2 linked regions of the Saccharomyces cerevisiae S288C genome follow. The gene in region 2 interacts genetically with the main gene of each other region. Each region holds a gene or a part of one and is shown on either strand. Other genes may lie near its edges.

What was found.
Region 1: mutations in TIP1 (region 2) and YPS6 together harm fitness more than expected from each alone (negative genetic interaction), as found in Saccharomyces cerevisiae (one large-scale study listed by BioGRID).

Annotation. Positions count from the first base shown.
Region 1 is NC_001141.2:429,582-433,632, forward strand, and holds YPS6 (aspartyl protease), read right to left. Parts: upstream 2,531-4,051; coding exon 917-2,530; downstream 1-916.
Region 2 is NC_001134.8:368,826-374,629, forward strand, and holds TIP1 (putative lipase), read right to left. Parts: upstream 3,911-5,804; coding exon 3,278-3,910; downstream 1-3,277. Other genes in the region: Pre-mRNA-splicing factor ECM2, read right to left, coding at 1-853; NRG2 (Nrg2p), read right to left, coding at 1,212-1,874; branched-chain amino acid permease BAP2, read right to left, coding at 5,036-5,804. UniProt on the Saccharomyces cerevisiae protein: Seems to have esterase activity. Prefers ester of fatty acids from 4 to 16 carbon atoms.

The sequences.
Region 1 (4,051 bases), on a different chromosome or scaffold from region 2:
TACATATTGGCGGAAAAAGCACAGTCCAGCTCGCGAGATATGCAATATTCTCAAACAGACATATATTGTTGCCCTCTTTTTAACCGTCTATTGATAAAGTAATTGTGCTTCTCTCTAAATAGCGGGCACTTCCATTATATATATATTTTCCAGAAATTTTGAGTGGCGTATCTCTTACATACTACTAACACTAATCCTGGATTCTTACACCAATTTATAGCGTTATACAGTTCAATTGAGTATAATGAATCATAGACTTTATTATAAAAGTAGTTTTAACAAGAGGAATGTTAATAGTTCATATAATTGATTATTAGCAGAAAAGATTCACCTAAAAGATGTAGGGGCAGGTAATCAAACCGATGTTATCTAAAAAAAAAAGACATATAATTAACTTCGTTAAATTAGAAAATGCGGATGTTTCTTTGCGTCATAGTGTGGACTTGATAGAACAATACCTCAAGCTACCTTTGCATTGAGTATGACGTATTATGTAGGATATATGTGGCGAGTGATTAGATAGATTTTTTTAGCTGCACTTAAAAACAGTCAGGGCTGGGCGGCAAAGTGGAAGGTAAGTAAAGAAAAAATGGTAAGATAAGGAAGCCGCGATGGAGAAGATGAAACATTCACTGCTTTTTAGCACTGTGTTATTCTTCTTGTTAGCTTATTTGACAATATTCGCCATTGCGTTGGCCCTGGGGAAAAAGTGTGCACTTATAAGGTCGTTACTATCTTTATTGCAGTTAACAGTCTTCGTCATATGTATAATCATTACGCTGTAGGTTTCTTATTTTTATATGAAGCAGTGATATATAACATAATAAAGTTTCATCGCCTTTTACACAGTATATAGGGCTTCACCTATACAGTCCCACACAGTAACACACTGCGAAACTATGTATCTCTTCTCTACTTATAAAAGAAAATAAGATATGAAGGACAATAATGAAAAGGAGAAAGAAGAACGGTATTTGTAACCTGCATTTTGTTTTTTAGTGGTGCTTTCGCTAGAGCCGCCACTACTTGAGAAAGAACTAGCATCATCGCTTTGGGCTGCGGTGGCAAGCAATGATTTGTACTGTGAAAATTCCGAATACGAGGTCCAGCTGACATTAATAAAATCTCCTGTTCCGATGGGACTACCGGGCTTATATACCCATGTACTAAAGTATCCGGGAGCAGGGGTGGCACCTGGGACAGTATCGGAGATAACCTCAATATCTTCTTCTTGATTATTAAAGCTAGCCTGAGCAATAGAAATTTCGTAGTTTTCTAAATCGTAGACTACATATGCGTCGACAAGGAAAGCATCTCCCAGCATATAAGTGGACTCGGATTGCTTAACATTTAAAACGCAACGATCCTTAGCTGATGTTACGAAATTGGATATGTTTGCCGATATATTAAATCCTCCAAAGTCGACGGACAGTAAAGTATCGTTCACTTTTGAACAATCAAAGATGTAGCCTTGGTCGTCAGAGCTGTACTCTCCGTCAAAACTTTTGCCGATTGCTTCTGCAATTTCGGTGGGTAAATAGGAGAAAGTTGTGCCAGAATCCAACATCACTGGAAATTGAATATCCGAAACAGTTTTATTGCCAGATTCACTATCCAAAATTGCCACACTTTGTGCAGTAATAATCATCCCAGGATTTGAGCCAAGGGTATTGAATGCCTGCAGCATAGGCAGGGTGTAAAGCTGTCCTGTGTACTTACTTTTGTCCACTGCACCAAACAAGATGCTCCCGAAGTGTGCATCAGGTCCATTCAAAAATAAAGAATACGCTATTTTATTAATCTTTCCCTGATTTTTTAATTCCATTGGAAAGTTATCATATATGAAAGGTGTTCTGTTCAATGCCAATGCGTATTCGATACCATCTGTAAATTCTGCAATGGGAAGCGATATGCCTAAAATGCCACTTGGATTGCCTATTGTATCATTTGATACACCAAAAGTGAAATCATTTAGAGTAATATTTTCGAAAGAGACAACATCCGTACCATAAGTCCCTGCATAATACGTACCATCTCCGTATGTGTTATTGAAAAACGTCGCATTATTCTCAAAAGTAGATGAGTTGCTTGCATCGAATGTACCCCAATAAGAGCAGAGAGTGTTATAAGCTTCTGATGAGATGGTAGTCGAAGGAAGCCCATTGAACGTTGCTGTGAGCTCGTAATTATCAGTTGAAGCGTAGTCAGATCCGTCAGACATCGATTTGCAATAGGCAATGTCAGCATTATTCACAATCATATCTGAAGAGCCAGTATCTAACTGTAGGTACAACGTTTGTGGAGGCGTTCCGATTTCCATCTTGACAACATACACTCCTATTCCATTTATCACTGTGGTGTTAAGAACCTCATTTCTTTTGAAGACGGTAGAAACATCCTGTGTGCATATATTTATAATATCAGCCAACTTTTGAACAGGAAACTTAACATAGGAACTTGCGGAAGACCCTAAAACGGTCAATGAACACATCAATGATGACAACAAAGAGAGGATGGAAATCAATTGCATATTGATAGCTTTGCGTTGTCTTCAAATATCCTTATTTTCGAAAGAGACAAAATTTAACAACTGATCAACCAATGAAAAAAGAGAACAAGGAAGAACGATGAAAAACCCTATTCCAAGATCATAACACCTTATATACTCTCAACTTTGAAAGCAGTTCCAAAGCTTAAATCCTCGAAGAGTACTGCTTGCATGAGGTTTACGCAACAGGTCTAGTCAGTTTTAACTCCTCGGATATCTCGAGATATTTTGCTGTAGTGAGCGACAGGGTAGCAAATTTTTGGACCCTTAACCCCTTATACAAATTACCACCATATGTTCCTTTTCTGCAGCGAAAACCTCGGTGTTGTCAGAAACAATTTAAGAAAAGCACAGGCGAAATTGGGCTTGCACTGGGTGATCAACAATGCCAGAAATAAATGAGAAGCTTTTTACTCTTGCTTTTGCTTCTTCCTCTTTATGTTCAAGCCAGCCAAGCTATGTTATAGTGTTGAATGTCTTGAACCGTTATAGTTTCTAAAAATAACTTTACATTTTGTTATGCAATCTTCATCATCTCGAACTTTTCAACAAACGTTCAACAGTGATGGTCTTCCCCAGTGAACCAAAAGACATATGACGCTCGTATGGTATGTTAAAAACAACATAGAGGATAGTAGGTCGGGGTTTATTGTAGAAAGGACATAAATAGTTGACGTGGTAAATTTTCATCAACTAAAGCCACATCTATTTTGCCAAGTAGGAGATAATGTAATATGTAGAGGGATCGAGATTTACTGAAGCCTCACGTGAGGGCAATCTGGAATCAGATTGCACTGGTTTGCACCATACCTCTCAAAGAAGAAAACGTACTACTTTTTTAGTTGAGTATGGATAGGGTAGTGTTTCCTAAAGTTATAAGGTAAAAGGGGCAGAGGAAAAGTCGATAATAATTTGAAAGAAACTTGCTTCCATATTCACAAAGGAGCTGGATACTTCATGTCATCCGCACATATATCTACAAAAATTTCAACTTTTTGAGGTTGATACTAAGTCTTTCGCTACCAAAATGAAAGAAATCAATTTGGAGAGACTTAGGCTGAATATTTCCGCGTTCTCTCTGGGGATGAAAGATTTCTTACTGCAAAGAGTTTCAGTATTTACGGATTGGTTACAATTTTTTTTTTTTATCATAATCAATTCTTTGAATATCAACTTCTCTCAATACCATCCGCCTCTCAGCGGCTACAATTACGTAATTGCACCAAGGCCTTCGCCGAGAGTTTACATATTTGCAGACCCTAACAGTATACGACTCCCAACACACGTTTAATGTTGTACGAATTCAAGAGATAGAAATATTTCTTGCATGGAAGCCGTTTAGAGCAGACTGAATATGGGCTTAGACAATAAGCTTCTGTACGAGGGTCCAAATCTAAAATTCGGATATTCTTTTTGACCGAAAAAGGAAATGTCACAGGCACAGAAAAGGGTTTTATAAGGCACCTCGGCACCCTATAATTGGCATTCCCACATTCTGCGCAT
Region 2 (5,804 bases):
GGTCAATAAGTAAAACTCCTCTCTTTAGGCCCTTTGGTGTGACAAGTGTCTCACTTATTTTACTGACAAACCGCTCCCCCAATTCACTAGATTGAAATCTTAGGCCACCACACTTCGCCTTGTGGTTGACTATTAATGACAATGAATTTCCATCCTTCCATTTCTTTATACCCAATAATTGCGAAACTGTATCAGTTATTTTCCATTCAGGGATCGAGGCATCAATATTATACAGAAAAAATGATTTGGTGGAGGGGTTTTTTAAAAACGATTCATTCAAGGGTAGTTTCTTCAAAATATGAGAAATGTCCACGGACGCGTACTTTTCCAAGTTTTTGACCTCATTTGCACCTTTTTCATTTTTATACAATGCAGTTGTGTTTTTTATTAACGGAGTACTTGGGCCATCTGATGTTGCTCGCAGAAGTATATTTTTCAATTTATCAACGATATTATCTGCTTCTGACGGATCACTCGTAATCTGAGCTCCTCCTAATTTCACGTTTTTTAGTGACAGAAACCTTTTCATCATGTCGTTTTTTGCTTCCTCCGTCATAACGTTTTCCTCGTTCACAAGGGATATTAAATGATCCCGCAGTTGTATAGGGATGTGCCATCTTGAATCAAGCATACAGCATTGACAAATGTTTCTCTGAGTGGCGCACCGTACACATATTAATGTTTTAATGATATTATTGCTTCGTTTAGACGTCTTAAAATGGTATAAGGTGAACGGTAAGGTACAAATCTTACATTCAGAGCCTTGTGGAATTTTAGTCATTCGTATATTAGCCTCATCACCTAAGCACTGCTCACATATATTGGGCGGTGGCTCATTAATTTCATCATTCATTATATTAAGGGTGCAATAACTCTTTTCCGTTAGCTACCTTCTATTCACCTGCTCAAAAGCCCTTCCATCATCATTACCACTTCTATCAATAAAATTTGCCATAGCATTTCTTTTTTTTTTTTTTAGTCCTTATTGCCTAAACGTCATCACAGGAGAGGGTAATCCCGGAATGAATAAGGTTTGAAACTTCACGTCCCTCCGGGTTGTGACTTAAAAAAATTACGAAAGAGAACCGACTATCGTTCCTGCTATTGTTCTTGGTGAGTATTACTAACCCGCTTAGTTTTATTACTATTTATCAGTCTTTTATTTGTACGTTATTTGAATATTTAAATGTTTTTGGCTGAGCTCACTCACATCAACTGCTAGCCTCCCTCCTCTTCCAGTTTCTTTTCTTCTTGTTTGCATGAGTTCGATAATGCTGATTACAGTTATCATGTCTACTAAACCTCTGTCCACAGCCCTCATGCGGACAGATATGATTTTTTTCACCTGTATGGATTCTGTTATGTCTTGAAAGATGACCAGAAGTGGTGAACCCAGTAGAGCAGATCTTACAGAAATGACGAGTCCTCTGTCCTGCTGTATTGGTTTTCGTAGATTTCAATTTTATCACGGTTTTTGTCGGTTTGCTTATTTTAATTGAGCTATATGGATCTGATTTACCGTTACCGGTATTCTCTGCTTTTACAATATTAATATTTTGCAATGGCAGTATCGGTGACGTTTTTCCACTTGCTGTTAATCTTGAAATAGTCCCGTCACTCGTTCTGTTCGCTTGTTTTCCGGAGAAAAAATCGAAAGCGCACTTATTCAATTTATCTTTCAAGTCATCATCAATTAGATGTGATGTTTTCATCAAGGGTATCAGGGTTTGGTATTTCCTTTCATTGTTAAAAGAGAACATTTCAGGCATAAGAGTTATCTGGGAGGGCGAACATTCGAAATTGATGGGAAATTCACATTTCCTATCTTTAGCTAGAATAGTTGACATCAAGTTGTCTTTGTAACCTATGGACATCTGGAAATTTTGTAGAAGCTTTATATTTTTTGTTCTTCGAACAGTAGCGAGTGCTCATATGACTTGGTGCCGGAAATTCATTTGAGCTGTCATAATATGATAAATATTTATATGTAAAAATTTAGGCCAGATAATATATAAAAGATAAACGATTTAAAGAGGGTGTAGGATTTGCCTGTTAGCGATGTAGGAGCTACTGCACGATGTAGCATGTAATAGCCAGACGTGATTCCCCTAAACTCAGGCCCTTCTCCAAGGAGAATGCAACGGTAGGCAGTTCGTTTGAAATTGAAACTTTTCTCAACGACAATGATGTCCCGCAGCATAAGAAAACATGAGATCAGAAAAGCGTTGCAAAACGCAGAAGCCACTTATCAAGAGCTACGGCTGCGCGTTTTTCTGGGACGTGCTGACAAACGAGAAAAAAGATGGCTTTGTATTCAGTTCAAGGCCCTGTGTATTTTTTTCCTTCAAGAAATTTTTATTTTGGCCTGGGGTCTTTAAACGGACGGGTGCCCTGAGAGTACTCTCGCATAATCCAGGGATGGCTTTTTCACAGTCGTTTAACATTCGTTTATGAAGTAAAGAAAAAAAATACCAAACCCCGTTAAAAGAGAAAAAAGGTAGCCGAACATTGAAGCAGCCCATGCCAGTTTGTCCTTGGGCAGATAGTTTTCCGTCTGGCTTGAAAGGTTATAGTCTCCTTTTTTTCTTGGCTTCGGGAAAAATACGATTTGTTTGTTATTCTATATGCAGAGCCGCTGCTCTGCAGGGATTTATGATCTCGAGTGCCATTGATCTTGAAGCATCTTTTGTTGAAAGGATTTGTATGACATCATACCCGAACTTTTTTAGCACGTGAAAATGGAGAAGTCTATGGTTTTAGAGGTTGCTATTAAGGCATTTTCTAAACTTGAGGGTTGTTTGATCTTATGTTGGTTGGTTGTAAGCCAGCCGGTGTAGCCACGTGTTAAATCTTGACTTTTTTTCCCGAAGAGGGTCTGGTCCTGTCTATTTTGTTTCATGCATATTTTTTCTCAAGGAGAAAGACTCTTCGCTGCGCCTTGGCATAATAACGTCTTCGGTAGGGTCCATTTTTTTAACGTTGGCGATGCCCATATTTAGCTCGTTTGGTCGTTCCTTCGAAAGATAATCGTTCGTAAATTAAAAATAAAAGAGAGTAGTTTTCGAGCAACGAGTAGCCAGCTGGTGCCAATTGTCAAGAAAGGAAACATTTCTTACGGATTGGGAAGAAGCACTAATCTCGAAAAAGAGAACGTTTTTAGAAAGTTTTAGAAGTTGATTATATTAATGAAGAAAAAATTTTCGAACTAACAATTACATAAAGAGAAGGTATAATAATGGAGGTAATTTTTCAAATATTTGTTGTAAAAGGTTCCCTTTTATAACAATAAAGCAGCTGCACCTGCAACAACAGCACCGAAAGAGGCAGCGCCTGCATTGACTCTTTGACCGGCATTGGAAGCAGTTTCGACTGTAGAAGTGCTGACAGAAGAGGTAGTTGGAGCGACAGAAGAAGAAACGGCCTTAGAAGATGATTCGGCAGATGATGATGGGGCAGCAGAAGAAGATGGGGCAGCAGAAGAGGATGGAGCGGCAGAGGATGTAGCTTCGGAAGAAGATGCAGCCTTGGAAGAAGATGCAGCCTCGGAAGAAGATGCAGCCTCGGAAGAAGCTGGGGAAACGGAGGCAAGAGCAGCAGCGATTTCAGAACTCAATCTTGTGGTGTACCATGGCAATTTAACAATTGTCTTAGTGATAGCATCAAAGTCCAATTCACTAAACAAGGTAGTGTAAGCGTCATCGGTGTAAGTCATGACTTGTTGATACACACTCAAGACATCAGATGGAATTTGGAATCCACTGTTGCCAGTTTCTAGACCCAAGTAGTCAGAAAGATGAGAGTTGATGTCACCGATAATAGCTTGCAATTCAGCAGTTTCGGCGGCGCTGGTGTCAGCGACGGCCAAAGAGGCAATGGCACTTAAAACGAAAGCAATCTTGGAAACGGACATTTTATTTTATTTAGCAGAGGGTATAGTTATGCAATAGCAATTATTGTTACTGATTGAATGCCTTTATAATTTCGGTCCGAACAAAGTTAGGCAAGCGAGAATAATTGACGTTTGAAAGAGGGCTGCCAATGTACTATTTATATTAAATGGTGAATGAAGCAACGCAGTACCTCAAAGAGGTTGGAGACATATTCACCCTTACAGCAAACCTTTTTTTTCCTTTACTGGAAATAGCTCGAAGAATTGGAGAGAAAAAAAGATGCTTTTAGAAAATAAGACACATTTCCCGGAACAATCAATTATTTCCATCACAATCTTTGAAAGAAAGGGCCAAACCGCCGCAATAACTGCCGTAGGATTCAAAACCACAAGTACATTCTTCAACGGAAAAGAGTCGGAAAATCGGAAAAGGGACCTCCCGAAGACATTAGTCTCATAATTAAGGTTATAGTCAAGAAAAACCATAACCAGATCGTCTGATGCTCTTTTTGGGAATATTGATTACCCAATAAGGTCATTACTCCAATTTGTTGGGCTCCATTGTGTTGAGTATCGGTTGCTTGGGTTTTGAAAATCTTGCTGCCGTCCGGCTGCATGTGTGCGCCGCAAGTGCCGAGAAAGTAATTATCAATGTGGATCGCAAGCCAAGACAATAAATTTGTTGTTTCTGTGACTATTTCATGATGGCCTCCTAGTCAAAATACCAAGAAGAAGAAAGGTTTTTTTTTCTTTTTTTCCCTACCTGGCCATTCAAAGGTGAAATATCCTTTCCATTACCCAAAGAGGTAGTACTGTTTAGGCGGGGTTTGACAGGCGCTGGAAGGGATAGGCAAGAATAGGAACGGTTTCCAAAGCCATAGAAATTCCTCCTTCACGTTCTGTTGAAGGGAGGATAAAGCAAAATTTGAAACAATAACGACATTGTGCGGGTATGTATGCTACGGATGATTAATGAATGTATGTAAAAAAAATATAAAATTACAGAAACGAATAAGGTCATTAAGGGAGGGGAGGGCACAAGCAAATGTGCTTGTGAAGTCATACCTACTCAGCGCTAAGGACATGCCGTGATATCATCAACCGGCTCTAATGGGAAGTGTCCAGACCTGAGTGGTGTAGTTAAGTTTAACACCAGAAATGATAAGCTTTTCTCATCAAAGACATATTCCTTAGTTTTTCTTTATTTTCTTCGTCCTCTTGTCTCATTAGCTCTGGATCATAAATGCGTCTGTGGAAGTCAAGGTCAATCTTGTCGAGGGGATTTAATAGCGTAAAATCACGGTTGTAAACCATATATCCGAAGTAAAAGGCCAACCATATTGGAAAAGCTAAATAATTTTGAAAGAAGGATTCCGCATCGCATTTGCCCCCATTACCTAAGGGGGCCAATGCTACCCAAAATTGGGCAACAAAGACTAAAATATTAAAAAAGACACCGTATATGGAACCCCAAATCCCTGTTGTGGCCTTGTATCCCAACTCGTCTAGAGACCTTCCCTGTACTTTCATTGCTTGTCTGAATCGCAGATGGGACAACATTATGGAAGTCCATGTGAATAATTCACTCAAGCCTGCGATAGCTGCTAACCATGTAAACACGATCTCTTCCTTTGATGAAGCTGCAACAAAAGCAATGACGCCGAAAACGCAACACACAATAAGAGCTCTCAAGGGCCTGCCCTCTCTGTCAACGTAATCTAAAAACTTGGGTGCGTAGCCTTGTTGGGCCAAAGAGCAAATCAGTCTTGGACCAGCATACAAAGAGGAATTTGCCACTGAAACCACAGAAATCAAAATAACAGCGTTGATAATATGTGGAACAATTTTCACACCGTGAATAGAAGCGGCTAAGACATAGGGAGATGCATGTGTAGCGGATCCGCCTGCGCCCATT